Anolis sagrei: one gene and its partners. The protein of the gene in region 2 binds, or shares a complex with, the protein of the main gene of each other region. Links are inferred from orthologs where the notes say so. Each region holds a gene or a part of one and is shown on either strand. Other genes may lie near its edges. The genes, in order: TCTE1, GAS8, DRC7 and IQCG.

Region 1 (7,292 bases), on a different chromosome or scaffold from region 2:
AAGGCACATATAGTTTCCTAACATTATGCATTAATGACCATGCTGAAATGCTGTTAGGAGAGTGAGAAAATAATAATATATTCCACCTATTTCAGACCCCAGTAATCTACACTACAAAGTGACTGTTAGAAAAAATTCAGTGCCAAATATATAACTGATTCCCCAATCTAAATTATTCACATATATTTGTGAACGGGCCAGATAATGAATCCTAAAACTAGAAAAGAAAAAAGCGTTGTATTTTTTTCCCATTTGTGTCGGGACAGACTCCTAAAGCATTTAGCTCATTGGTTTCATTTGTTAGTTGCTTTTCAACATTCAGAACTTTAGTTAAATTGTCATGCTTTCAGAAATCTGCTGATAAGAAATGCACTAAAGGTTGGATATCCTTTATCAGAAATGCTTGGGACCACAATTGTTTTGGATTTTGGAATACCTGTATGCAGGGCCGTAGCCAGAAAAAAATTTCGGGAGGGGTTGAAATTTTCACGGGGGGGGGGGGGGGGTTGAAATTTTCACGGGGGGGGTTTTCAAATTTTCACGGGGAGGGGTGAAATTTTCAGGGGGGGGGGTTGACATTTTTGCAAGGGGGGTTTCAAATTTTCGTGCGGGGGGGGGGGTTGCAACCTGCCTCCTAGCTCACGCTGAAGCAAAGAATACAGCAGGGGCCAGAGCAGCCTTCAATAGCCTGCAGCTCCGTCCCTGTCAACCATCTCCACCAAGTCTGGCCTCCTTAATGAGAGCATTCAACACACAAACCACAATTTGGTTGCTTCACTACATCGGCTATTGCTGCAAGTAATGACAGTGTGAATAAATTGTCAATATTTGCTTGAGATAGTTCTGGAGGGACTCTTAATTTTTTGTATTTCATAGACTTAGCAATGGGATTTGGTTAACCAGTTAAAATTCATGAGTAAACCAGGTTTTTAAAAAAATCTGAAACATTTGGGGGGGGGATTGAACCCCTAAACCGCCCCCCTCGCTACAGGCCTGCCTGTATGTACATAATGAGTTATCTTGGAGATGAGTCCCAAGTCTTATCAGAAAATTCATCTATGTTTCATGCACACCATATACACATAGCCTGAAGGCAATTTTATGCAATATAAAAAACAATGCCCATGAAACAAAGTTTGGACAGTAAACCATTAGAAAGCAAAAAAAAAAAAAAAAAAAAAATGTCACTACCTTAGCCACCCATGAGGACAATTTTGGAGTTTTGCAGATTATGTGTGCTCAAATTATATTGCTTTCACATTCTTTAGGCCCCATCTACAATGCCTTATAATGCAGTTTGAAACTGCATTATAGAATTTGTATAGACCCATATAATGCATTTAAACGGTATTATATAAGTCTTCTCTACATTCCTCTACAATATGCTATAGTTTCAAAGTGTAGATAGGGCCTAGGAATGAATATAACCATATTTTCTAATGGGAGCAAGATAGTTTAGGGAGAATAGTTATTTCACATCAGTTTTCAAGTGAGTTGTAATATACAGAAACAAACACAATCTCAGTAGCATACTCACATAGATTTCCATTAAAAGAGAGTGTACTAATATACAATCAAGAAGCTGCAACAACATATATAAATCACAACTGAAATGGAGAGATGAATATCATGTTTCTTAACAGCAACATTTACTGATTTTTAAAAAAGAAAACTGAAAATGAAAAGTTGGCCTAAACTGAAGTGTTTAAGGATAAATAGGCTCCTCAAAAAGAAAAGGTTCAAGACTATACAAAATATAGCTCAGAAAAAAACCACAGTATGTGGAAGCATTACCTAATTTATTGCTGCCTACAGAGACAAAGGGCCCCCTGGTGATGCAGTGGATTAAACTATTGAGCTGTGGAACTTACTGACTGAAAGGTTGGCGGTTTGAATCCGGGGAGCAGGGTGAGCTCCCTGCCTCTGTCAACCTAACAGTCTGAAAACATATAAATATGAGTAGCTCAATAGGTACTGCTTCTGCGGGAAGGCAACAGCACTCCATGCAGTCGTGTCAGCCACATGACCTTGGAGGAATCTACGGACAACGCTGGCTCTTAGGCTTAGAAATGGAGATGAGCACCACTCTCTGGAGTCTGACATGACTAGACTTAATGTCCAGGGAAACCTTTACCTTTACTTTACCAGAGAAATAGATAATCTAATAGTCTGCGGACTCAGTGTGAGAAAACTTGCTGCTGGTTTACCTGGCTGATCATGAAAACCTAACTGCATTCTGCAGTTATTGCAGGCACACTTCAGTTAGCAAAGTAGATGTGATCCACAGACATTACTTCTTTAGCAGAAAATTTAGTTCCGGGGGCAGAAATAAAATGGAAAAAAATGAATTTCTATTTCACAAAAAAACCCCCCAAAAAACAACACTCTTCATTTCGGGGTTTGTAGATCAGTGGGGCCCAGGACCTCGCTGGCCGGGCATTTTAAAGGCCCCTCTCTAAACTACAAGCTTCTGCAGGAGACAGCCACAGGATTTACATTAATGTAATTTGACCCCAGTATGGCTCAATGCTAAGGGATCATGGGAGTTTTAGTTTGGTCAATCATCAGTACGCTACAGCTCCCGTAATTCTATAGCAATGTGTCATTTATTTATTTATTTATTTACAGCTTTTATATTCCACCCTTCTCACCCTGCAGGGGACTCAGGGCAGATTACAGTGTACACATATATGGCAAACATGCAATGCCAATTTTTGACATACAAACATATACAGACATACAGAGGCTATTTAACTTTTTCTGGCCGCCAGGGGAGCTGTCGCTTTCATCGTCCATCTGCGACGCTGATGAAGCACCTCCGCATTCCTGCATGCTTCCCCGCTGGAATGCTTTGCTGGAGTCTTCTTTATGGCCTCATAAATCAGTTAATTTAGCCTCCCCAACTGTCTTTCAGGTTGCAAAGGTCGACAACAGGCTACACACAATTGGTTGGAAACCCACTCATGACCTTTTGGTCAGAGTGATCTTAATGCAGCTGACACTCAGCCAGCTGCGCCATAATCCCGGTTATGGCTGTTAAGACGGCCTAAACTGCATCCATTACAGTATAGATCAGGCATGGGCAAACTTGGGCCCTCCGTGTGTTTTGGACTTCAACTCCCAGCATTCCTAACAGCCCCAGCCCCTTTCCTTTCTCCCACTCAGCTGAAGCAGCTGTGGTGGGAAAGGTCCTTGAGGTCCTTCTCTGAATTCTATTGCATCCTCCACTCTTTCCCTGTAGGGACCCAAGACTCGACATTTCACTGGCCTGAACGTCCCAGGCCCCTCTTTCCTGGTCCCCCCCACCCTCGAAACAGGTGTCCCCTCAGGTTTCATTCGCCCACCTGGCAGTCTAGGCCGCAGAGCAGTCCGTTGCTAAGGAAACGAGAAGCGTTGCCAAGGGCGGGGCTTCACAGCGTAGACCACACCCCTTAGAGGCACGAGCCGAGGGTGATGTCCAATCAGCAGGCGGGAGCCGCCCATTGCTTTTTTTTCAGAAATGGGCGGGAGGAACCGCCTGGGGGCGGAGCTTACGGCAAGGTGTGTGCGATAGCTTGGAAGCAGGAATTTCTGGATGAGATGAAACCAAGCCCCGCCCCTTTCCCTTGAGAGCGCCTCCTGATTGGCTATTCTGTTGGCACCCTGAGTGTTGTTTTTTCCTAAGAAGGAGACATCATCTTCTTGATGTGGCTGTTAAATGCAGGTTGAGGATGCATCTACACTGTAGCATAAACGCAGTTCAACAGCACTTTAACTGGCAGGGCTCAAATGCAATGAAATAATGGGGGTTGTAGATCTACAAGGTCTTAAAGGGGTGTCAAACTGCATTAATTCTACAGTGTAGATGCACCCAGAGTCTCCTTTATCCCAAATGTTTGGGTTCCACAATGGGAGAGTGATCAACAGTCTAACAAGCAATGAGTAATGAATGTGCTGGATGACTTGTCTTTGCCTCCTCCTCAACTTTCCATTTGGAAGGACATTCTGTGTCGATTAAATATAAACACTGAGAATGTGATGCCTTGATTGACTGCCAATGAGCTTTATGACCTGAGTGGAACCCATCTGCTTGGTTGTTTGCACTTTTTATTGTTAATGGGTTTATAGGTAGGTAAAGGTTTTCCCCTGACATTAAGTCTAGTCATGTCCGACTCTGGGGGTTGGTGCTCATCCCCATTTCTAACCCAAAAAGCTGGTGTTTTCCATAGACACCTCCAAGGTCATGTGGCTAGTATGACTGCAAGGAGTGCCATTACCTTCCCGCCGGAGCGGTACCTATTGATTTACTTATATTTGCATGTTTTCGAACTCCTAGGTTGGCAGAAGCTGGGGCTGACAGCGGGGGCTCATGCTGCTCCCCGGATTCAAACCTGCAACCTTTCAGTCAACAAGTTCAGCAGTTCAGTGCTTTAACCTATTGTGCCACCAGGTTTATATTCATCTCTCTCTCTCTCTCTCTCTCTCTCTCTATATATATATATATATATATGCAAATGGGCTATCCCTCCCCAGACTCTTTAATAGAGCATGGCCTGTGATCACGAAAGTAATACAGTTATATAATCATAATAATGTATATCATATCCTGCCTGTGAGAGCCGTTCAGCTGTGGAACTCTCTGCCCTGGAGTGTGGTGGAGGCTCCTTCTTTGGAAACTTTTAAACAGGCTGGATGCAAATGTGAGTAGATTAATAGGCACTGCTCTGGCGGGAAGGTAATAGCTCTCCATTCAGTCATGCTGGCCACATCACCTTGGAGGTGTCTATGGACAACGCCTGCTCTTCGGCTTAGACATAGAGATGAGCACCAACCCCCAGAGTCAGACACTCCTGGACTTAATGTTAAGGGAAAACCTTTACTAATGCTTTCCTTACTATAAAAATCAAATACTGAAATAGTAGATAAAAGAAGTAGGAAAATAATGTTTATTTCCTCAGCTAATCTTAATTTCTACCAGTGATATGAACAGGGTTCAGTAAGATCATTAGGGAAGTAGTGGTAACAACTGCAATAATTGAACAACCTCTTGTATAAAATATTGTTATAAAGTTCATTTTTGCAATGAGTGGCTAGGTACTTCTAAGTACTCTTTGTTTGTAGAACAGTATTTCAAGAGCAATGCAAATGCCATAAGACATTCTCCAGTGAAGCAGAGCAATTGAAAGGTACAGTAGGTCATATGTCTTGCTTAATCTCTTTGACAGGCTCTCCTTTAAGCAAAATAACAACATAAGTAACAGTCAGAAATGCAACTTAGATAAAGAGATAGGATACATTGATGCAGTGTACCATACCTCCATTAAGAAACACCAATTCTCTGAAGCTTTTGTGGAAAGGGAAACAGCAGGCAGGGCAGCAAAGCAGTCATTTTGACACGGGAAATATTGATATGTAGGTCATATCTATACTGACAACTTAGGTCACTTTGGAGTTGGTTTGGCAGAAATTGGTTTCATTGTGCAGGTGATCTATTCGACTTGACAAGAACAGGATTAAGACCAGGAAGGTGATTGATTACATTGACAGATGGAAGGTGGCCTTAAACTGGTTCCACATCCACAGTGCCATGCCCCTAAATATCCTGTGAGATGCCCACTAGAGATGTGGAGACATATGTGCCCGGGGGGGTGGGGGGTGAAGTAATAATTACTAGTGGAGAATAGGTCAAGAATAGGGCTCCACAGCCACCTATGGATCCACAACAATACTGATCATGGAAGACTATCCTACTTGTCCAACAAGGGATCGCATAAGTACTAAGTAGTAGTGGAGATAATTAATCACCAGTCCCAAAGGATCATGTAGTCCCTTGCTGCACAGCTATGCCCTTGGGGTGTTTTTCGACAGCCACCCTATCCTTCCCAAATGGTAAAATGCACTTTAGTGCAGGCAGGTGTCTACAATGTGCTTTGTATTTTAGGGAGCTATTTTGCCATATTATATATTTAATGTTTAATAAATAATATTTAATATTAGGGGCTCATTAAAGCACATTTTAGGGTTTAACTTTCCTGCAACTTTGTTTGGTACTTCATCACACTAGAGAATGAATCCACTTTAAATCCGGTTGCTGCCTCTTGCAGAATTCTGGAGTTTGTAATTTAGGGAGGAACCTTTTACAGCCCCACTAAACTACAAACCCCAGAATTCTGCAAGAGGCAGAAAGTGGATTAATTCTCTAGTGTGATGAAGTAGAGAATTAAACCCTTTAAGTCATGCTGCGGCATGTTTTGGCTGCATACATTTTGTAGCTGCCACAGTTTGAAGTTGGATTCAAGCTGCCTTAAGTGATTGTTGTAGATGTGCCCCATGTCAAACCTAGGGCCCTTTAACACAGCCATATAACCCAGAATATCAAGGCAGAAAATCCCACAATATCTGTTTTGAACTGGGTTAGTCCACACTGCCATATATTCCTGTTCAAAGCAGATAATGTGGGATTTTATTCAGCTGTGTGGAAGGGGCCAAAGTCTTTCCCCTTTTCCCCTGCTATCACATTTAATAAAGGATATTCCTAGTTATCTGTGGATATCAAACAGGGAGGAGGGAAGGAAAGCATGTGTTTTGCATGACTGCAAGGATCATGCAGAGGTGCACCTTTTTCAGGTCGAATTGGGTTTTGAGTGTACCTTTTTAACATGTGCTTTTAACCTCTTAACTCGATCCTTCCTGCACTTTGGCTAAATGTTGTTTAGCCACACACACCTACTTTTAATTCTGTTACTTCTGGGTTTTGCAGCATGTGTAGAAGTACCCTCAGAAACAACCTGCAAAAACCCATGGCTTTAGAGGTCAATTGTTTATCTCTGTATAATTTTTGCTAAAATTCCATTTCTAAATTAATATTTCTGATGCTATTTGATAGACATGAACATGTGTGAACACATTATCTCACTCAAATGCCGTGTGTTTAAACACAAATAATATTTTGTTGTTGTAAATTGTTCAGGCTATATGGCCATGTTCTAGAAGCATTCTCTCCTAACGTTTCGCCTGCATCTATGACAAGCATCCTCAGAGGTTGTGAGGTCAGACCTCACAACCTCTGAGGATGCTTGCCATAGATGCAGGCGAAACGTCAGGAGAGAATGCTTCTAGAACATGGCCATATAGCCCAAAAAACCTACAACAACCCAGTGATTCCAGCCATGAAAGCCTTCGACAATACACAAATAATATTAACATAATAAATTGGCAGATCCTTTCATGGCCTACAGCATACCATTAAAAATAGGCTTGTGTGATTTTATTCCTAGTTTTTAGTAGCGTATCATTAGAAAAAGAGAAATAGA
Region 2 (7,938 bases):
ATTATTATTATTATTTATACCTCACTTTTTCTCCCCACAAGGAAACTCCTATTTGTATATTTATATTATTATTATTATTTTACTGACACAAATACACAGTATGTCACAGCAAACGAGATCTCTATGCTGGATTTCGTATCACAAAATCACAAGTTGAACACTTCCCAAGCGTCTAGGACTGTGTGATGTATTTTCGAATGATGTGTGCAGATCCAAGTCAGGTGGCCTTTTGCAGTTGACAGAGAGATTTTGTCAATGTTTATTGTTTCCAAATGCTGGCTGACGTCTTTTGCCATGGCACTCAGTGCACCAATGACCATTGGGACCACCTGTACTGGTTGATGCCAGAGGCTTTGCAGTTCGATTTTGAGGTCCTGATAGCGGCTGCATTTTTCCTGTTGTTTTTCCTCAATGCGACTGTCACCTGGTATGGCGACATCAATCATCCAAACTTTTTTCTTTTCCACAATCGTGATGTCTGGTGCATTGTGTTCCAAAACTTCCAATAATAATAATTATAATTATAATTATAATTATAATTATAATTATTATTATTATTATTATACCTCACTTTTTCTCTCCACAAGGAGACTCTATTTGTATATTTTACAAAGCCAATAGGAAAGAAATCCACTCCGGGTTTTACTTTGGACTTCAAAGGAGTCTTCTAAGGTGCTGAATGGCTGCTAGAGGCTCAGGACCTTGGAAAGCTCCTTGAAGGTATGAGGTAAAACTGGGACTGGATTCCCCATTTCACTGACATGGGGCCCACTGTTGTGTACCATTGTTGTTATTTTGACTGTTTTGTTTTGCCCTGGTTTTATAGGTCTCAAATGAGTCCCTTTATGAAGATAAAAAATGGGATTAATATAAAATAGATTAAAAATATTGCCTTTTAATAATGTATTTTAATGCTGGTATTATAGGAATTTGGTTTGCCTCAACATTTAAAAAAATGACTCCATTCTGTACAATTAGGTTTTTTCTCACAACTAAATTTTCAGTATAGTGTAGGTTGAGGCTCTTTCATCTGAAATGTTTTTAATATGTTTATTTCTGTTCACATTTGGGACTTTGGAGGATTTTGAAATATGTATCTTTGCTGGGTTGTTGTAGGTTTTTTTAGGCTATGTGGCCATGTTCTAGAGGCATTCTCTCCTGACGTTTTGCCTGCATCTATTGCAAGCATCCTCAGAGTTTGTGAGACCTCACAACCTCTGAAAATGCTTGCCATAGATGGAGGCGAAACATCAGGAGATAATGCTTCTAGAACATAGTCATTTATTGTACTTTATTACATATATTATAAATATATATATTATATATATAATTATATATTATATAATTATAATCATTATTGAGCACTCTAACTGGAGATCAGCTGTGACCAGCAGTGCTGCAGAATTCAAAGGCACGAATGGAGGGCGAAAGGGAGAAAGGTGACAAGAGTAAGGCATGTCAAGCCAACCCAGACTGGGACCACCTTCTGCCTGGAAACCAATGTCCTCACTGCAGGAGAACATGCAAACAAGAATAGGTCTCCAAAGCCACCTATAGACCCACCACCAAGACACTACACTAGAAGGACCATCATCCTCGGGCTACAAGGGATTGCATAACTAAGTAAATATTATAATATTATATATTATATAATAATTTTCTTGGAGCTGTCGTCCAGTGAAGATCATGTCTACTGTTCCTCTGGAGGGTCGGAAGCCATTCTGAGATTCTGGTAGGGTGTCTTCCCAGGTAAAAGGTGGTTTCCAAAGATTCTTGCAAGGATTTTCCCACTGGAGGTCAGAAGGGAGATGCATCTGTTGTTTCCCCTTTTTTGAAAAGGGTGATGATGGTGACATCCTTGAAGTCTTCTTGGATTTTCTTAGTCATCCACATGTTTTCAATGAACTGGTGGATTTGTTGTATTAGCTCAGGTACACCCTCTTTAAAGATCTCAGCAGGGATCCCATCAGGTCCACTGGCTATGTTATGTTTTTGTTGGCTGGACGTTGCTGACTTCCTCCAAACCAGGCAGGGCTGCAAGCTCATCCCTGGTTAGTTGTTGTGGGATTTGTGAGAGAACAAATCAGGAGGTTGTGGTAGTGCTCTTTCTAACGTAGTGCAATTGATTTTTTGTCCTTCAGAAGTTTGGTTCCATCTGATGAGTGTAGGAGGGTGTATGCCATGATTTCTTGGTCTGTAATTACCTTTGTGGCTTTAAAAAAATCCCTGAGCATCATGGATATCTGTACAAGGAATCTGTACAAGGACCAAGTAGCAACAGTAAGAACTGACCACGGAACAACAGACTGGTTCAAGATTGGGAAAGGCGTACGGCCAGGCTGCATACTCTCACCCAATCTTTTTGCAGAACACATCATGCAATGTATGCAGAACACATCATGCAATGTGCGGGGCTTGATGAATGCAAAGCTGGGGTGAAAATTGCTGGAAGAAACATTAACAACCTCAGATATGCAGATGACACCACTCTGATGGCCGAAAGCGAGGAGGAGCTGAGGAGCCTTCTAATCAAGGTGAAAGAAGAAAGCGCATAAGCTGGGTTGCAGCTAAACGTCAAAAAAACCAAGATTATGGCAACAAGAATGATTGACAACTGGAAAATAGAGGAAGAAATCGTGGAGGCCGTGACAGACTTTGTATTTCTAGGTGCAAAGATAACTGCAGATGCAGACTGTGGCCAGGAAATCAGAAGACGCTTACTTCTTGGGAGGAGAGCAATGTCCAGTCTCGATAAAATAGTGAAGAGTAGAGACATCAGACTGGCAACAAAGATCCGCCTAGTCAAAGCCATGGTATTCCCTGTAGTAACCTACGGATGTGAGAGCTGGACTTTAGGGAAGGCTGGGCGAAGGAAGATAGATGCTTTTGAACTGAGGTGCTGGAGGAAAGTTCTGAGAGTGCCTTGGACTGCGAGAAGATCCAACCAGTCCATCCTCCAGGAAATAAAGCCCGGCTGCTCACTGGAGGGAAGGAGACTAGAGACAAAGTTGAAGTACTTTGGTCACATCATGAGGAGACAGCAAAGCCTGGAGAAGACAATTATGCTGGGGAAAGTGGAAGGCAAAAGGAAGAGGGGCCGACCAAGGGCAAGATGGATGGATGGCATCCTTGAAGTGACTGGACTGACCTTGAAGGAGCTGGGGGCAGTGATGGCCAACAGGGAGCTCTGGTGTGGGCTGGTCCTTGAGGTCACGAAGCGTCAGAGACGACTGAACGAATGAACAACAACAACATCATGGATATCTGCAAAGTGTTGGATTTCTTCATTGAACATCGAGAAAACCAAAGTGCTCTTCCAGCAGTTACCTGCCAATCCCTCTGCAATGCCAGAAATACAGCTTAATGGTGTAACATTACCTTGGCCGCCACCTCTCCACAAAAGTCAACACTGACCCTGAAATACAACACCACCTGAGCTCTGCAAGTGCAGCATTTTTCCAAATGAAGCAGAGAGTGTTTCAGGATTGGGACATCTGTAGGGAGACCAAGGTGCTCACTATGAAATGCAGTTGTTTCATACTTTATAATACTTTATTACAATTGATTACATATATTATGTGATATTATAATATATAATAATATAAAATTATTAGATATATAATATATTGTTATTATATATGATATTATTTTTTGTTTATTTCGTATCAAAAGCATTGCATAAATTAGTAAAAAAAAACTACATTACTGCATAAATTAGAAAGATACTCCACTTTGGCAGGAAAAACGAAATGCAAAGATACAGAATGGGGGATGATGCCTGGCTTGAGAGCAATACGTGTGAAAAAGATCTTGGAGTCCTCGTGGACAACAAGTTAAACATGAGCCAACAATGTGATGTGGCGGCAAAAAAAGCCAATGGGATTTTGGCCTGCATCAATAGGAGCATAGTGTCTAGATCTAGGGAAGTCATGCTACCCCTCTATTCCGCTTTGGTTAGACCACACCTGGAATATTGTGTCCAATTCTGGGCCCACAATTGAAGAGAGATATTGACAAGCTGGAATGTGTCCAGGGGAGAGCGACTAAAATGATAAAAGATCTGGAGAACAAGCCCTATGAGGAGCGGCTTAAGGAGCTGGGCATGTTTAGCCTGAAGAAGAGAAGGCTGAGAGGGGATATGATAGCCATGTATAAATACGTGAGAGGAAGCCACAGGGAGGAGGGAGCAAGCTTGTTTTCTGCTTCCCTGGAGACTAGGACGCAAAACAATGGCTTCAAACTACAAGAGAGGAGATTCCACCTGAACATGAGGAAGAACTTCCTGACTGTGAGAGCCGTTCAGCAGTGGAACTCTCTGCCCCGGAGTGTGGTGGAGGCTCCTTCTTTGGAAGCTTTTAAACAGAGGCTGGATGGCCATCTGTCAGGGGTGATTTGAATGCAATATTCCTGCTTCTTGGTAGAAAGGGGTTGGACTGGATGGCCCATGAGGTCTCTTCCAACTCTTTGATTCTATGATTCTATGACTACATTATATATTATTATGTATGCTATTATATATTATAATATATAATAATATAATATATATAATATATGAAATCAGTTAAAATATAATCATACTTATAAAGTATTATAATATATTATGAGCATGCTTATATTTTAATGGATTATATCCAAAATGTAATATTATTATATGTAATAATATACAATACCATAATAATATATATTATAATATTATATAGAATAATATTATCTTATGTAAAACAATAATATCATTATTATAATATAAGGAAATTCTGCATATAATATTTTAAATAGTTTTTTGGGCATGAATCAAAGCTTGTGTCCATTGTAGGAGCCAATTGGTATCAGATGAAGAGCCAAAGGGTGAAAAAAAACACCCTCCTTCTCCCTGTAACTAGGGGCGGGGCCTCGTTGCTAGGGGCGCGGCTTCTTGGCCAAGGGCGGAGCCGAGGCTCTCGCGAGATTTGGGCTACGGTTGCTTGGCAACCAGAAGACTCTGGGCCTAGTCTTCTAGAGAGACACTGAAGCCGTCACCATGGTGAGTCTGTCCAGTGGGAGGGAGAGAGTTGTGATGATGATGATGATGATGATGATGTAGGTTGTGTATATGGCCCACCTTAGTAGCTGAGAGAGTGGCTATGTCGTGGTTTGAGGGTTGAGAGAACAGGGGAAGCCACACTGTCAAATTAATGCGGATTGATTCCACTTCAGCGTCTTTAGCTCCATGCTATGGAGTCATTGGAGTTGTAGTTTGCAATCTTTGGGCAGAGAAGGCCTTGTGAAACTTCGACCCTTTCTACACTGCCATAGAATCCAGATTATCAAAGCAGAAAATCCACATTATTTGCTTTGAACTGGATTGTATGAATCTACACTGCCATAGAATCTAGATTATCAAAGCAGACAATCCACAATACCTGCTTTGAATTGGATTATATGCAGCTACACTCCCATAGAATCCAGATTATCAAAGCAGACAATCCACATAATCTCTTTTGAACTGGATTTTATGTATCTACACTGCCATAGAATCCAGATGATCAAAGCAGGCAATCCACATTATCTGCTTTGAACTGGATTATATAAATCTATGTTGCCATATAATCCAGTTCAAATAAGATAATCTGGATTTTATATGGCAGCGTAGAAGGGGTCTATGACTCCCAGGAACCATAGCACTGAACTGTGGCCTTTCAAGTGGGGTTAAACCGCATTAATTTTTCAGTGTAGACAAACAGTTTTGGGATTTGTCATCCAAAGAGATATAATACAACAAAGATGGACTTGATGGATTCTGGGAACTGCTGCCTAAAAAGAAAAGAAAAAAGAATATAATAATAATAATAAAGCTTTATTTATATCCTTCCCTATCTCCCCGAGGGGACTCAGAGTGGTTTACAACAGATATCGGCAAACGTTCAATGCCATGAGAAGCTGAATAAAGACAAAACTAACCAACTCCCCAAATCCCAAAAACAAATCCACATCTACATCAAAAATAATAACACATTATACTGCAATATTGCTACTAATATTATATGTAATATATACTATACACTTATCATATTATTGTATATTATTATATTGTACTATATTATCAAACCACAATGTATATCATACACTACCAGTACAATATACTATTAGTATTATATAATATCCCAATTTGTTTTTAACAGTGTTGTAACTGCAAGGAGAGGCGGGTAATAAAATAATAATATTTATTATTATCATTCTTATGACATCCCATCTTTTCTGGTGGATGGAGCTCCTGATAGCGCAATGGGTTAAACCCCTGTGCTGGCAGGACTGCTGACCAAGAGGTCAACGGTTCAAATCTGGGAAGAGCGGGTTGAGCTCCCTCTGTCAGCTCCAGCTCCCCATGCGGGGACATGAGAGATGCCTCCCACAAGGATGCCTCCCACCAAACATCCAGGCGTCCCCTGGGTAATGTCCTTGCAGGCAGCCAATTCTTACACTAAAAGCGACTTGCAGTTTCTCAACTTGCTCCTGACATGGGAAAAAAAACCCTTTTCCGGCAACCTAGTCAACTTTGGACCATGAATTTTGGGGTTTGCATTCTCTTGCCATTGTATCTTGGTCCTTATACCATATGTTTTGGCGGATTTTGATATATGTATTTTGTTGTATGCGTTTTTGTTGATGTATTTTGACTTTTTATTATTGTTATTTTATTATTTTAAATCTTGCAGGCTAAATCTAAAAATATTCGCACACTAATCCAGGTGTGGGCAAACTTTGGCCCTAAAGGTGTTTTGTACTTCAACTCCCACAATTCTAACAGCGGTAGGCTGTTAGGAATTGTGGGAGTTGAAGTCCAAAACACCTGGAGGGTCAAAGTTTGCGCATGCCTGCACTAACCCAACAGATACATCTGTACATATACTAAACAAGCAACTACAGGAACAATTCTGTGAAGCTTACACTCATTAATGTGTTTTGACTGTGTTGTACCCTGCCTCAAGCCATTGGGAGAGGTAGGTAACAGGTACAATGTATTATTATTATTATTTTGTTATTGTTACTATTTTTTAATATTGCAGACTAAATCTAAAAAAAAAAATTGCACACTACCCCAAAACATACCTACACTAATGTACACAGACTGAACACACAACTACAGGAACAATTCTATGAACTCATACTCATTGTCTGTTGATTTTTATCTCTTACTAGCTTGGGTACCTGAGTTACTTGAAAAAGACATGGTTTGTTTTTGGATGTTATAAATGGACCAATTAGAAATTAGCAGGTTAACGGAGTTATCAGTTGTCTTTGGATGGGGTTAGCAGTACTCTTTGGATGAGGGTAAAGGAACTGCAAATCCCATTGTCCATGGACCATCTCCCCCAAACCTCAGCAGGACATAAAGTCTCATGAGGAGGTCTCTTTGCCAAAATTAGTCCAGGTCCATGGCTGATGGGGTCTGCAGCAGCCTCTGGATGTAGGTGAAGGAACTGCAACTCCCATCATCCAGGTCCTTCCCCCAAAAAGCACCACAAAGACTTAAAGTGGGTCATCGGGTATCTGTGTGCCAAGTTTGGTCCAGATCCATGGCTGATGGGGTTTGCGGTAGTCTCTGGATGCGGGTGAAGGTACTGCAAATCCCATCATCCATGGTCCATCCTCCCCAAACTTCATCAGGCTGTAAAATGGGTCATGGGGGGCCCTTCCAGACAGGCCCTATATTACAGGATCCAATCTCAGGTTTTCTGCTTATCTGGCAGTGAGGACTCATATAATCCAGGTTATATAACTGCCATAGATGTGGATGAAATGTCAGGAGAGAATGCTTCTGGGTTATAGGGCCTGTCTTGAAGGGCCCAGGGAGTCTGTATCCCAAGTTTGGTCCGGGTCCGTCATTGGAGGTCTGTGGAAGCCAAAGCAGTTGAAGGTACTCCAAATCCCATCGTCCATGGTGCATCCTCCTCCAAACAT
Region 3 (7,619 bases), about 23 Mb from region 2:
AAAATACTGGAAGGGGTTGGTGGGCATTGACCTTGAGTTTGGGAGTTGTAGTTCACCTATATCCAGAGAGCACTGTGGACTTAAGTAATGATGGATCTGGACAAAACTTGGCAAGAAAACTCAATATGTCCAAATGTGAATAATGAAGTTTGAGAAAAATAGACCTTGACATTTGGGAGTTGTAGTTGCTGGGATTTATAGTTCACCTACAATCAAAGGGCATCTTGAACTCCATCAATGATGGAATTGAACCAATCTTGGCACACAGAACTCCCATGACCAACAGAAAATACTGGAAGGGTTTGGTGGGCAGTGACCTTGAGTTGGAGAGTTGTAGTTCATCTACATCCAGAGAGCACTTTGGACTCAAACAATGATGGATCTGGACCAAACTTGGCACAAATACTCAATATGCCCAAATGTGAATATTGGTGGATTTTGGGGGAAATAGACCTTGAGATTTGGGTGTTGTTGCTGCTGGGAGTTATAGTTCACCTACAATAAAACAACAAATAAAAAGTGAAAGAAGGAAGGAGGGAGAGAGGGAAGGAAGAAGAGAAGGGATAAAAAGAGAGAAAGAGGGAGGGAAGTAAAGAAAGAAAGAAAAAAAGAAAAAAGGAAAGAGAGAAGGTAGGATGGAACCAAAGAGCAAAGGAAGGGAGGAAAGAAACAGGTAGAGAAGGAAGAAAGAAGGGAAAGAGGAAAGAAAAGAAAAAGAGGGAAGGAAGGAAGGAAGGAAGGAAGGAGAAAAGGAGGGAAGGAAAGCAGAAAAGAAGGAATGAATGAATGAAGGAAGGAAGGAAGGAAGGAAGGAGAGAAGGAAATAAAAGTGAAAGAAAGAAGGAAGGAGAGAAGGGATAAAAAGAGAGAAAGAGGGAGGGAAGGAAAGAAGGAAAGAAAGAAAGAAAGAAAGAAAGAAAGAAAGAAAGATGGAACCAAAGAGCAAAGGAAGGGAGGAAAGAAACAGGTAGAGAAGGAAGAAAGAAGAAGGGAAAGAGGAAGGGAAAGAAAAAGAGGGAAGGAAGGAAGGAAGGAAGGAAGGAAGGAAGGAAGGAAGGAGAAAAGGAGGGAGAGAAGGAGGGAAGGAAAGAAGAAAAGAAGGAAGGAAGGAAGGAAGGAAGGAAGGAGAGAAGGAAATAAAAAATGAAAGAAGGAAGGAGGAAGAGAGGGAAGGAAGGAGAGAAGGAACAAAAGAGAGAAAGAGGGAGAGAAGGAAGGAAAGAGAGAAGGTAGGATGGAACCAAAGAGCAAAGGAAGGGAGGAAAGAAACAGGTAGAGAAGGAAGAAAGAAGAAGGGAAAGAGGAAGGGAAAGAAAAAGAGGGAAGGAAGGAAGGAAGGAAGGAAGGAAGGAAGGAAGGAAGGAAGGAGAAAAGGAGGGAGAGAAGGAGGGAAGGAAAGAAGAAAAGAAGGAAGGAAGGAAGGAAGGAAGGAAGGAAGGAAGGAGAGAAGGAAATAAAAAGTGAAAGAAGGAAGGAGGGAGAGAGGGAAGGAAGGAGAGAAGGAACAAAAGAGAGAAAGAGGGAGAGAAGGAAGGAAAGAGAGAAGGTAGGATGGAACCAAAGAGCAAAGGAAAGGAGGAAAGAAACAGGTAGAGAAGGAAGAAAGAAGAAGGGAAAGAGGAAGGGAAAGAAAAAGAGGGAAGGAAGGAAGGAAGGAAGGAAGGAAGGAAGGAAGGAAGGAGAAAAGGAGGGAGAGAAGGAGGGAAGGAAAGAAGAAAAGAAGGAAGGAAGGAAGGAAGGAAGGAAGGGAAGGAAGGAAGGAGAGAAGGAAATAAAAAGTGAAAGAAGGAAGGAGGGAGAGAGGGAAGGAAGGAGAGAAGGAACAAAAGAGAGAAAGAGGGAGAGAAGGAAGGAAAGAGAGAAGGTAGGATGGAACCAAAGAGCAAAGGAAGGGAGGAAAGAAACAGGTAGAGAAGGAAGAAAGAAGAAGGGAAAGAGGAAGGGAAAGAAAAAGAGGGAAGGAAGGAAGGAAGGAAGGAAGGAAGGAAGGAAGGAAGGAAGGAGAAAAGGAGGGAGAGAAGGAGGGAAGGAAAGAAGAAAAGAAGGAAGGAAGGAAGGAAGGAAGGAGAGAAGGAAATAAAAAGTGAAAGAAGGAAGGAGGGAGAGAGGGAAGGAAGGAGAGAAGGAACAAAAGAGAGAAAGAGGGAGAGAAGGAAGGAAAGAGAGAAGGTAGGATGGAACCAAAGAGCAAAGGAAGGGAGGAAAGAAACAGGTAGAGAAGGAAGAAAGAAGAAGGGAAAGAGGAAGGGAAAGAAAAAGAGGGAAGGAAGGAAGGAAGGAAGGAAGGAAGGAAGGAAGGAAGGAAGGAAGGAGAAAAGGAGGGAGAGAAGGAGGGAAGGAAAGAAGAAAAGAAGGAAGGAAGGAAGGAAGGAAGGAGAGAAGAAAATAAAAAGTGAAAGAAGGAAGGAGGGAGAGAGGGAAGGAAGGAGAGAAGGAACAAAAGAGAGAAAGAGGGAGAGAAGGAAGGAAAGAGAGAAGGTAGGATGGAACCAAAGAGCAAAGGAAGGGAGGAAAGAAACAGGTAGAGAAGGAAGGAAGAAGAAGGGAAAGAGGAAGGAAAAGAAAAAGAGGGAAGGAAGGAAGGAAGGAAGGAAGGAGAGAAAGAGGGAGGGAAGGTTAGTCACAGCAACGCGTGGTGGGTGCAGCTAGTTTAACATAGTTTCTGCCACAGAAACAAAGTTTCTGGAGTAGAACAACTACTTTCAAAGTAAGGACCACACCATTAAACAGGAAATAATGCTTTCAAAGCAGGAACAGAAACTTTTTCGAATACAGTTACATAATGCAATCCTCCCTCCTTTTCCTCCCTTTCTCCTCTCCTTCCTCCTTACTATAAAACTTCAGGGATATGGACTTGGATCTGGGAGAGCTGCTCCTCCAAGTCTTGGACTTCATCGCTGAGATTGAAAGAACTCAGCTCATCGTCTTCCTCCTCCTCCTCCTCTTCTTCTCCTTGGAGTCCGTAGCTTTCTTCGCTTGTATCCATTTCGCTGCCGGTCCTTTGCAAAACCTAGGGAGCGAAAGCCTGTAGGAATCAAAGGAAGGGTTCTCTTGTCATATATTTGAATATTTTGATGTTTTAAGGATGCAACAGGTTTATTTATTTTTTGTCGTATCAGAAGCAAATTAAGAACACGGCTATAATGTATAGAAAAAAACATAAACTTGACATTATACTAATTTTCCTTCAAGGAACTGTCTTCAAAGGTATTTTCTCCTGACATTTCACCTGCATCTATGGCAAGCATCCTCAGTTATTGAGGTCTGTTGGAAGTAGGAAAATGGGTTTATATATCTGTGGAATGACCAGGGTGGGACAAAGGACTGTTGTCTGCTGGAGCTAGGTGTGAATGCTTCAACTGACCACCTTGATTAGCACCTGATGAACCAACCTGATACTGTAAATCATCACCTCTTCCTGAGAAAAAAAAGTATTATATCGCAAAGGATTACCACTTCACCTGCTTCATAGGAAACCTGCTACAAAACAGGAGCTTTTTTGTTGAGTCCCAGGGCCAGAGAAGCAGATGGCGGAAACAGGAGAACGGCCTGCCTCAGGGGAGCGTGCTTGCTCCATCCATGTTCAACATCTACACAAATGACCAGCCACTGCCAGAAGGGACGGAGAGCTTCATCTATGCTGACGATCGTGCCATCACTGCTCTAGCAGAGAGCTTTGAAATCCCACACACAAACATTACATTTTTATTTATACTAGCCGTCCACTGCCACACGTTGCTGTGGCCCAGTCTGTGTACATTTGTTTTGTGTGTTTGCATTATGTGTATATTTGTGTGTGTTATACACACAAATATACAAAGTTGAAGTACTTTGGCCACATCATGAGGAGACAGCAAAGCCTAGAGAAGACTATTATGCTGGGGAAAGTGGAAGGCAAAAGGAAGAGGGGCCGACCAAGGGCAAGATGGATGGGTGGCATCCTTGAAGTGACTGGACTGACCTTGAAGGAGCTGGGGGTGGTGACGGCCGACAGGGAGCTCTGGCGTGGGCTGGTCCATAAGGTCACGAAGAGTCTGAGACGACTGAACGAATTAACAACAATATACACATATGTGCTATGTGTATATCAGTGTGTATATATTTGTATAGATAGGTGTGTTTGCGCATATATATATATATATATATATATATATTAGGCTTGGGTAACCACGGAAAAATTTGGTTCTAAACTCGTTTTGCTTTTAGGGGGCCCTTGCGTTTCGTTTTTTTTTTAATAATTCCAAAATTTTCCTTTTAAAAATTTCGAAATATACGAAGTTTTGTATAATTACGAATCGATTCGTTAATTGCGGACGCAACTGCACAATATGCTAAAAAAACCTCCAAATGGGACAGGGGGAACTTCTGAAGCTTCCCTCTCCCTCTGTTGTTGACTGTTGGTGTGATAAAACAAACAACAACTATAAAACTTGCACCAGACATGTGAAAATAATTACGAAATAATTACGAAATAATTACGAAATAATTACAAAATAATTACAAAATAATTACGAAATAAATTGAAAAAATTGTTTCGAATCTAATTTACTCCTCACACTATTTCTGCATGGCTCAATATCAGATCGTAAGCTAATTTAAATACAAATTAATAACTAATTACGAAATTAATGAACGAAACCGCCCAAGCCTAATGTGCATATGAGTGTGTATATATTTGTATAGATGTGTATATAGGTGTGTTTGCATATATATATATATATATATTTGTGTGCATTTGTTGTAATGTATTTTTTTTTTTGCTTTTTAAGTCTCTTCCGCTGTGTTTTTCAGTGTTTTTATGAGTGATGGTCACTCGTTGGCCTGAGAGGTGTCTTGTGTCCGAATCTGGTGTCAATTCGTCCAGTGTGTTTTGTTTTTTTTAGTTATGTTAATTCCACAAATGAACATTAAGGAGAATTGGGTCACAAAATATTATGTGTGTTTACGTGTGTGTGTGGTTTTGCACAAGCATTGTAACGTATTTTGTATTTCTTTAAGTCTCTTCCACTGTGTTTTTCATAAAATTCATTGTCAGGATATATATATATATATATATATATATATATATATATATATTCATTCTCTATCCTGCCCCTTGATATCTCCCACATCATAATCTCTTCCAGTGTTCCTGTTGGAGAGGCCATTCAGGAACGTCAACAAACACTGAGAAGCAGGACAGAAAGGAAGGAAGGGCTGGAGGTTGTGTTTCATCAGGTCAAGCTGCCCTTCGATGTTGTTGTTTTTTTGTGCTGGGAGATAACAAGGCAAGAATAGGGCCTCTAGCACATCCTTTATCTCAGTTGATTTAGGAGGAAAATATGACAATTATGCACCAAGGTTAAGCTGGTAGCCTGCAAGGGCTTCCTTGGGCAATGGAGACCTTCCTGAGAAAGACAGAAAATAGCCATCTGGATGTCCCTTCTCTAGTTGGGCAAAGGATGCCACCCAGAATTGGCCATGGAGAGGGCAAATGGGCAAGTCTTCTCTTATATTCACACTCAGAACAGACTGAATGCCCAAGAGTCCTTTTCTCTTCTTCCTTCCTTCCTTCCTCCCTTTCTTTCCCTCCTTCCTTTCGTGCAATCCTTTCCTTTTCCTTTTCCTCCGTCCCTCCCACTCTCCCTTCCTTCTTTCCTTCCTTCCTTCCTTCCTTCCTTCCTTCCTTCCTTCCTTCCTTCCTTCCTCATCCCTCCATCTCCATTTCTTCTTCTTCTTCCTTCCTTCCTTCCTTCCTTCCTTCGTTTTTCATCTCTCCATCTCCTCCCTTTCTCCTTCCTTTTTATATCTTCATCTCCATCTCCTCCTTCTCCTTCCTTTCTTTTTCATTTCTCCATCTCATTTTCCTTCATTGGTTTTTTTTCATTTCTCCATCTCCTTCCTTCCTTCCTTCCTCATCCCTCCATCTCCATCTCTTCTTCTTCCTTGCTTGCTTCCTTCCTTCATTTTTCATCTCTCCATCTCCTCCCTTTCTCCTTCCTTTTTATATCTCCATCTCCTCCTTCTTCCTTTCTTTTTCATTTCTCCATCTCATTCTCCTTCCTTGGTTTTTTTTTCATTTCTCCATCTCCTTCCTTTCTTCCTTTTTCATCCCTCCATCTCCATTTCATTTTCTTTCCCTTCCTTCCTTCCTTCCTTCCTTCCTTCCTTCCTTCCTTCCTCATCTCTCCATCTCCCCTTCTCCTTCCTTCTCCATTTCTCCATCTCCTTCCTCTCTTCCTTTTTTATCCCTTGATCGCCATCTTATTTTCTTGTCCTTCTTTCATTTCTCCATCTCCACCCTTTCTCCTCCCTTTTTATATCTCCATCTCCATCTCCACCCTTTCTTTTTCATCTCTTTATCTCCTCCTCCTCCTTTCTTCCTTTTTCATCTCTCCATCTCCCCTTCTCCTTCCATCTCAATTTCTCCATCTCCTTCCTTTCTTCCTTTTTCATCCCTCCATCTCCACCTCATTTTCTTGTCCTTCCTTCCTTCCTTCCTTCCTTCCTTCCTTCCTTCCTTCCTCATCTCTCTATCTCCACCCTTTCTCCTTCCTTTTTACATCTTCATTTCCATCTCTTCCTTCGCCTTCCTTTCTTTTTCATCTCTCCATCTCCTCCTCTTCCTTCCTTCCTTCCTTCCTTCCTTCCATCCTTCCTTCTTTCTTTCCTTCCTTCCTTCCTTCCTTCCTTCCTTCCTTCCTTCTTCATCTCTCCATCTCCCCTTCTCCTTCCATCTCCATTTCTCCATCTCCTTCCTTTCTCCCTTTTTCATCCCTCCATCTCCACCTCATTTTCTTGTTCTTCCTTCCTTCTTCATCTCTTCATCTCCACCCTTTCTCCTTCCTTTTTACATCTTCATTTCCATCTCTTCCTTCTCCTTCCTTTCTTTTTCATCTCTCCATCTCCTCCTCTTCCTTCCTTCCTTCCTTCTTCATCTCTCCCCTTCTCCTTCCATCTCCATTTCTCCATCTCCTTCCTTTCCTCCTTTTTCATCCCTCCATCTCCATCTCATTTTCTTGTCCTTCCTTCCTTCCTTCCTTCCTTCCTTCCTTCCTTCCTTCCTTTTTCATCTCTCCATCTCCACCCTTTCTCCTTCCTTTTTACATCTTCATTTCCATCTCCTCCTTCTCCTTCCAAAATTTGATTACTAGAGGTAGTTGGAAGGAGCTTCCTTTCTGGGAGTTGTAGTTCACTCACAACCAGAGAAACTGTGACCTCAACCAATGATGGACCTGGACCACATTTAGCACCCAGAACCCCATGACTAACCCAACCTACTGGAGGGGTTTGAGGGGAATGACTCACCATAGTGGGAGTTGTAGTTTACCCTGCAGCCGGAGAGTACACTGAATGATGCATCCAGATGATGCATCCAGAACAAGCTTTAAGAACGGATGGAGTTTCTCAGGGTTAACCTGACACGATGTGAGTTCTAGTTCCCCCACAACTTTATGCATTTGAGACAATTAAGAAAATTGACTTTTTCAAATAACCCAGGCAACCAAGCTAGTAATATAATATAATATAATATAATATAATATAATATAATATAATATAATATAATACTATAATATGTGCTGGAGAGCTCCTAAGGATCCAACATAGTAGTTATTCCCAAATTTCAAAAATCACATTTG
Region 4 (7,328 bases), on a different chromosome or scaffold from region 2:
TATTCAGAAGAAGACCTACAAGCCACTCTATACACCTTCACAGAAGCATATGAGAAGCTCAGCCTGTCATTGAACATCAAGAAAACCAAAGTGCTCTTCCAGCAGTCAGCAGCCAACCCCTCTCCAATGCCAGAAATACAGCTTAATAGTGTAACATTAGAAAATGTTGACCATTTCCGCTACTTTGGCAGTCACCTCTCCACAAAAGTCAGCATTGACACTGAAATACAATACTGCCTGAGCTCTGCGAGTGCAGCTTTTTTCCAAATGAAGCAGAGAGTGTTTGAGGACCGGGACATCCATAGGGAGACCAAGGTGCTTGTTTATAAAGCTATTGTCCTCCCAACCCTGCTATATGCCTGCGAAACGTGGACTGTCTACAGACGTCACATGCAACTCCTGGAACGATTCCATCAGCGCTGCCTTCAGAAAATCCTGCAAATCTCTTGGGAAGACAAGCGGACAAACGTCAGTGTTCTGGAAGAAGCAAAGACCACCAGCATTGAAGCGATGTTCCTCTGCCATCAACTCCGCTGGACCGGTCACGTTGTAGGTTCTTACCTACAAAGCCCTAAACGGTTTGAGACCCGCCTACCTGCATGACCGCATTTCTGTGTACGAACCCACATTATCTCTTCGATCATCTAGAGAAGCCCTACTCGCGCTCCCACCTCCTTCGCAGGCACGATTGGCAGGGACGAGGGAGAAGGCCTTCTCTATGGTGGCCCCCCGACTCTAGAACTCTCTACCTAAAGATATCAGACAAGCCCCCACATTGGCAGTCTTTAGGAGGGGCCCCAAAATGTGGTTGTTCCAGTGTGCCTTCCCAGAATAAGGAAAACTCTCAGCAATATGCCCTCAAAATGCACTTTACCACTGATTTAGGACTGACTGCGTTCCCTCATCTCTCTTTGAAAACCCTATACCAGTTATATCCTACCTTATTCATGCTCAGCGTTATTTTTTTAAATTTTAAACTATTACATTTGGCCCGGCCATAGGTTTTTAAATTCTTGTGTGTTACTGTTTATTGTTTATGTGATTTATATTAATTGTATTGTATTGATTGTTTTTGTTATTGCTTTTGTTTATTGATGTACTGTTGGGCTTGGCCTCATGTAAGCTGCACCGAGTCCCTTGGGGAGATGGTAGCGGGGTATAAATAAAGTATTATTATTATTATTATTATTATTATGCCCGACCACTGTCTGCCAAAGCAGTTGCTCTACTCCGGACTCAAGAACGGAAAATTGAATGTTGGAAGACAGGAAAAGAGATTTAAAGATTGGCTCAAAGCCAACCTCAAAAACTCTGGCATAGACACTGAGAACTGGGAAGTCCTGGCCCTTGAGCGCTCCAGCTGAAGGTCAGCTGTGACCAGCAGTACTGCAGAATTTGGTTTTCTTTTTTTTATCATAGTTATTACATTTGTTATGCGTTTGGTTATAGCAGTTACATATTATTCAACACACTCTTTAACATATAATCTTATTATTCTACTTAAGCATTTTCCCCCTTTGTTTCCCACCACTGTGCTCCCCTCCCCCCATATCAAGCCACAACTTTTACATATCGTCTGTCCAAAATTTCAATTCTTCTTGTGACGGTAACTTTCCTTCTTTGTTTTTTAAACCATTTACTACAAATTTTCCCCATACAACATCAAAATCACTTTGTTTCCATATACCTTTTTGAACTTTTAATATACATGTCAATTTATCATTTATTGCTATTTTCCATGCTTCCTTATACCACTCCTCTATTTGTATATTCATTTCTTTTTTCCAATTCCTTGCTATGAGCAGTCTTGCTATAGTTAATAAGTTTGTTATCGTTTCTTTATCCTCCTTTTTCCATTGTGTATTGTTATATAATAAAGCTATACTAGGGCTTTTCTCAATTTTAATGTTCATTATATCTTCTATTTCTCTAAATACTTTCCCCCAAAAATTATTTACATATTTACATTGCCACCACATATGTATATATATTCCTGGTTCTTGACATCCTCTCCAACAATTTTTTGAATTATTTTTATTTATATATGCTAATCTTACTGGTGTCAGATACCACTTCCATATTAACTTATAATAATTTTCTTTAACACGTATTGATAATTTTTTTAATGTCTTTGTCTCCATAATTGTTGCCACTCTGTTTCGTTTATTTTTATTTATTTTAAAATAAACAAATAAATAAAGTATTATTATTATTATTATGCCCGACCACCGTCTCCAAAGCAGTTACTCTACTCCGAACTCAAGAACGGAAAATTGAATGTTGGAAGACATGAAAAGAGATTGAAAAATGGACAAAGCTTTCTACAGGAGCTCTTGGTATTATGTCCTGTGCGAAAACCTTCTCTGTGTGGACTGTACCCAAACTGGCTCCTATTCCCTCCAAAAACCCAAAGGGGGCGGGACCAGGGAACCTAACTATAATTGACTGGTGGCTTGCCCTATGATTGCAGCCAAAAGAAGCCACCTATCTGCAGAGTCCCTGAAACTTAGGACTACAAACATTCAATGCAAAGCAAACAAAATTGGAGCTCCTGGTACAGCTGTACCTGCACAGGCATAGACACTGAGAACTGGGAAGTCCTGGCCCTTGAGCGCTCCAGCTGGAGGTCAGCTGTGACCAGCAGTGCTGCAGAATTTGAAGAGGCACAAATGGAAGGTGAAAGAGAGAAGACAATCCTACTTGGACAATGAGGGATTGCCTAAGTAAGTAAAGATAGATAGATAGATAGATGGATAATTTGTTCTTCCCTTTTCCTGAGGCCTAACTTTAGTGAAGGCCTTGAGGCCTCCTCTCTTGGGATAGTTTCCATCTTAATATTCACTGCATTCCCTCTTTTTGTGTTTGGAATTTCTGCTGCTTTCTCCCAAATGTTTCCTGAATGCTTTTCCTGTGTGAAAAACCCTCTCAACTCAATAGAACCGTTCTGAAGGGACTCACTCACCAAGAGGTATCACTTGCACAGCTTGACGTCGCCATGGTTACCACTCACTTCCTGTGGGGCCCTCACATTAGCAAAAGGCTGTCTATATAAAAGCCTGACATTTTTTAAAAATCGTTAAATTACAGAGGATGAAATAAAAGCTCGATATTGGAAATCAAACACCCAAATCGAAGTTTTAAATTCCACTTTTTAAAATACCCCCCAAAATGTTGTGATATTTCAGTCAGGCGAATAGCGTAACCACCTATCTCTAAACAAGGAAGGGGTCCTGGCGATTTTGTCCCCCTATCCCGGCTTGCACCGCGGCGCCGCTCTCTCTTTCTGCCGCCATCTTGGGCCGGTGCTGCTGAGGTGAGGAAGGGGGGCGCGCGTTTCGTGGGGAGGAATCCGTGGAAACCGCGGGGAAAGCGGCTCCCGAGTGGGGTCGGCGGGTGAAGCGAGGTCTGAGGAGTGGAAGGAGCCGGGGATGGCGGCGGAAGGCGGTGGGATGCCGTGGATGGAGGCCGGATGCTGCGGCCTGGCCTAGTTTCGTTTCTACGCCTTAGCTGGCTGATTCCATGGGACGAAGGGAAGGAAGGAAGGCCTGTATTGTCGAAGGCTTTCATGGCTGGAATCACTAGGTTCTTGTGGTTTTTTTCGGGCTATGTGGCCATGTCCTAGAGGCATTCTCTCCTGACGTTTCGCCTGCATCTATGGCAAGCATCCTCAGAGATAGTGTGGTCTGTTGGAAGTAGGAAAAGGGGTTTATATATCTGTGGAATGACCAGGGTGGGACAAAAGACACATCAACACTGACAAAGAAACAACAAGAAATACTGTTTATCCACAAGCATAAAGAAATTACATATATTAGAAACCAACACTTTCTCATTACTTTATTTTCCAGATCAACAGACTGGGCCACAGCAATGCGTGGCAGGGAACAGCTAGTAATATATAATATTGTGCTTTACTTATATATATATATATATATATATATATATATATATATCACATATGTGTGTGTGTGTATATATATATATATATATATATATATATATATATATATACACACACACACACACACTAGTCGTCACCTGCCAAGCGTTGCAGTGGCCCACATGAGGGTTCTGTATGGGAGGTTTGGCCCAATTCTATCAGTGGCGTTCAGAATGCTCTGTGATTGTAGGTGAACTATAAATCCCAGCAACTACAACTCCCAGATGTCAAGATTCTATTTCCCCCAAACTCCACCAGTGTTCACATTTGGGCATATTGAGTGTTCGTGTAGAGTTTGGTCCAGATCCATCATTGTTTGAGTCCACAGTGATCTCTGGATGTAGGTGAACTACAACTCCAAAACCAAAGGACACTGCCCACCAAACCCTTCCAGTATTTTCTGTTGGTCATGGGAGAAATGTGTGCCAAGTTTGGTTCAATTCCATCGTTGGTGGGGTTATGAATGCTCTTTGTTTGTAGGTGAACTATACATCCCAGCAACTACAACTCCCAAATGACAAACTCATTTTTTTTTAGTGATGGTCACTCCTTGGGTTAGTAGGTGTCTTGTGGCCAAATTTGGTTGCAATTCCCCCAGTGGTTTTTGAGTTCTGTTAATCCCACAAACGAACATTGCATTTTTATTTATATAGATTGCAGTATAGTGCTATGCTACAATATAGAAATATATAATACTAATAGTGTGTTATGCTAATTTAGTATATTGTATATACATGTAATATTGATAATAATATTATAATGTAATGCAATATAGTGCTAATCATAATACAATATAATAATATTGAAATAGTGATGCTACTATAATAAATATAATTACTTATTTACAATATATATCCATCTATATAAATAAAAATGTAATGTTCATTTGTGGGATTAACATCACTCAAAAACCACTGGGTAAATTGACACCAAATTGGACACAATACACGTATCAGGCCAAGAAGTAACCATCACTCATGAAAATACTGAAAAACACAGCAAAAAAGACATAAAAAGCAAAAAAACCAAACCAAAACATTAGAACACATGCGCAAAACCACATATATACACAAAAATAAAAATATATACACACACAAAACACAAATACAGAGACTGGACCACAGCAACGCGCGGCAGGGGACGGCTAGTATATATATATATAAACCTGTGGGATAAATGTCCAAGGTGGAAGAAAGAACCCTTGTTTGCTTAACACAAATGTGAATGTTGCAATTAGCAAGCTTGAATAGCATTGAGTAGCCACTAAGCTGTAAAGTCAATGGTAAGGTATCTGCATAGAGCAGTGGTTCCCAACCTTTGGGCTCCAGGTGTTTTGGACCAGCTGTTAGGAACTGTGGGAGCTAAAGTTCAAAATTCCTGGAGGCCCAAAGGCTAGGAACCACTGGCATAGAGGGAGCCTGCTCTTTGTTGCCTGGAGACATCCTCTGGGGGGTGTTAATTGGCTCTTGATTGTTTGCTATCTGGAGTTCTGTTTCTGAGTGGTGTTCCTTATTTACTATCCTAATTCTGGTGTTTTTTTTTAATACTGTTAACCACCTCTAAGCAGATAACTTCACAGATTGATACTGCAGGTGAAAGGCTACTCAATTCTTACTAATTGCAACATTCACAGACAAGTGTTCTTCCTCCCGCCATGGACATTCTGCAGATAGATAGACTTGCTTCATTGCCAACAGAACCTCTGAAGATGCCAGCCACAGAAGCAGGAGAGAAATCAACTGGAACATGGCCACACAGTCCAAAAAACTCACAGCAATCCATTGATTCTGGGCATGAAAGCCTTCAACAACACAATAGTACACTTTATTTATACTCTCTGCCTTGGCTCGAGGCAGGATACAACATAGAATGGGCGTAGGCAAACTTCGGCCCTCCCTCCATATATTTTGTAAACCGCCCTGAGTCTTTCCGGGGAGAGAGGGCAGTCTAGAAATAAGGAATTATTATTATTATTATTATTATTGGTCCTCAACTCCCACAATTCCTAAAAGCCTAATGGAGGTGAAGTCGAAAACACCTGGAGGACTGAAGTTTGCCCATTCCTGAATAAAATCAAGACAAACTAACATATTTATTTATTTATCGTGTCAGAGGCAGACCAAACAGTTGCATTGCATTTTTTAACAAACAAACAAAACTCAAAGTTTGCAAGCTTGGTAGTTGATTAAATGTCCTTTGAACCAGTATCTGACCACTTGGAGTGCCTCTGGTGTTGCCACAAGAAGGTCCTCCATTGTGCATGTGGCAGGGCTCAGGTTGCATTGCAGCAGGTGGACAGTGGTTTGCTCTTCACCACACTCGCATGTTGTGGATTCCACTTTGTAGCTCCATTTCTTAAGGTTGACTTTGCATCTTGTGGAGCGCAGTCTGTTCAGTGCCTTCCAAGTCACCCAGTCTTCTGTGTGCCCAGGAGGGACTCTCTCATTTGGTATCAGCCATTGGTTGAGGTTCTGGGTTTGAGCCTGCCACTTTTGGACTCTCGCTTGCTGAGGTGTTCCAGCAAGTGTCTCTGTAGATCTTAGAAAACTATTTCTTGATTTAAGTCGATGAAAAACTAACATAAAATACACAGATAAAAACACTATAATTAAGAACATACATGGGGTATAGAAATCAACATATAGTGACAATGCAATGCAAATTAAAAACTTGTGATTCAGGTTTGATTGGGTAGGCCTGCCTGAAGAGAAGAATCTTTAATTTTGTTTTTAAATTCTGCCATAATAGAAATGGAACCGAAGTCTAAACAAGAAATTCACTGCTGGCTGCATCTTCACTGTAGAATTAATGTGATTTGATGCCACTTTCACTTCCCTGGCTCAATGCTATGGAATCCTCAGAGTTGTCGTTTTACAAGGTCTGCCAAGGAAGACTGCTTCCTAACAAAACTACAACTCCCAGGATTCCATAACATTGAGCCAGTTAAAGGGATTTCAAACTGCATTAATTCTATATTATAAATGCACCCTTAAATAGTCCCAATTAATCCTTTATCATCCCGCTTTGTTTGCTGTTGCTAAAACATTCTAGTTCTTCTCTCCTCCTTTGTCCTCAACTTACTTCAGTTGCAAATTGCCACTGAATGGCAAAAAGAGAAGATACAAAAACATGTCCTTCATCATTTATTTTTTTATTTATTTATTTGCAACATTTATATGCTGCCCTTCTCACCCCGAAGGGGACTCAGAGTAGCTTACAAGATACATATACATACAATATATCATATTGGGGATGAGAGACAGGGCCATCTCAGTGGTGGCCCCTCCATTCTAACATTCCGCAAAATGGTTAAGACCTGGATCTTCAAGCAAGCTTTTTCTACTAGAGCATAACTAGACGTAAATGAATATATGGAATGACTGACGAT

Evidence for each region.
Region 1: GAS8 (region 2) and TCTE1 share a complex: the UniProt entries of both Homo sapiens proteins name them as parts of the nexin-dynein regulatory complex. The link is inferred for Anolis sagrei from reciprocal best matches to the Homo sapiens genes DRC4 and DRC5.
Region 3: GAS8 (region 2) and DRC7 share a complex: the UniProt entries of both Homo sapiens proteins name them as parts of the nexin-dynein regulatory complex. The link is inferred for Anolis sagrei from reciprocal best matches to the Homo sapiens genes DRC4 and DRC7.
Region 4: GAS8 (region 2) and IQCG share a complex: the UniProt entries of both Homo sapiens proteins name them as parts of the nexin-dynein regulatory complex. The link is inferred for Anolis sagrei from reciprocal best matches to the Homo sapiens genes DRC4 and DRC9.

Annotation. Positions count from the first base shown.
Region 1 is NC_090021.1:48,122,858-48,130,149, reverse strand, and holds the start of TCTE1 (dynein regulatory complex subunit 5), read right to left. Parts: upstream 3,009-7,292; 5' UTR 2,742-3,008; intron 1-2,741. UniProt on the Homo sapiens protein: Component of the nexin-dynein regulatory complex (N-DRC) a key regulator of ciliary/flagellar motility which maintains the alignment and integrity of the distal axoneme and regulates microtubule sliding in motile axonemes.
Region 2 is NC_090028.1:28,333,316-28,341,253, forward strand, and holds the start of GAS8 (dynein regulatory complex subunit 4), read left to right. Parts: upstream 1-4,933; 5' UTR 4,934-5,017; coding exon 5,018-5,020; intron 5,021-7,938. UniProt on the Homo sapiens protein: Component of the nexin-dynein regulatory complex (N-DRC), a key regulator of ciliary/flagellar motility which maintains the alignment and integrity of the distal axoneme and regulates microtubule sliding in motile axonemes.
Region 3 is NC_090028.1:5,375,184-5,382,802, reverse strand, and holds the start of DRC7 (dynein regulatory complex subunit 7), read right to left. Parts: upstream 3,022-7,619; 5' UTR 2,987-3,021; coding exon 2,832-2,986; intron 1-2,831. UniProt on the Homo sapiens protein: Component of the nexin-dynein regulatory complex (N-DRC) a key regulator of ciliary/flagellar motility which maintains the alignment and integrity of the distal axoneme and regulates microtubule sliding in motile axonemes.
Region 4 is NC_090023.1:267,626,635-267,633,962, reverse strand, and holds the start of IQCG (dynein regulatory complex protein 9), read right to left. Parts: upstream 3,019-7,328; 5' UTR 2,998-3,018; coding exon 2,963-2,997; intron 1-2,962. UniProt on the Homo sapiens protein: Component of the nexin-dynein regulatory complex (N-DRC), a key regulator of ciliary/flagellar motility which maintains the alignment and integrity of the distal axoneme and regulates microtubule sliding in motile axonemes.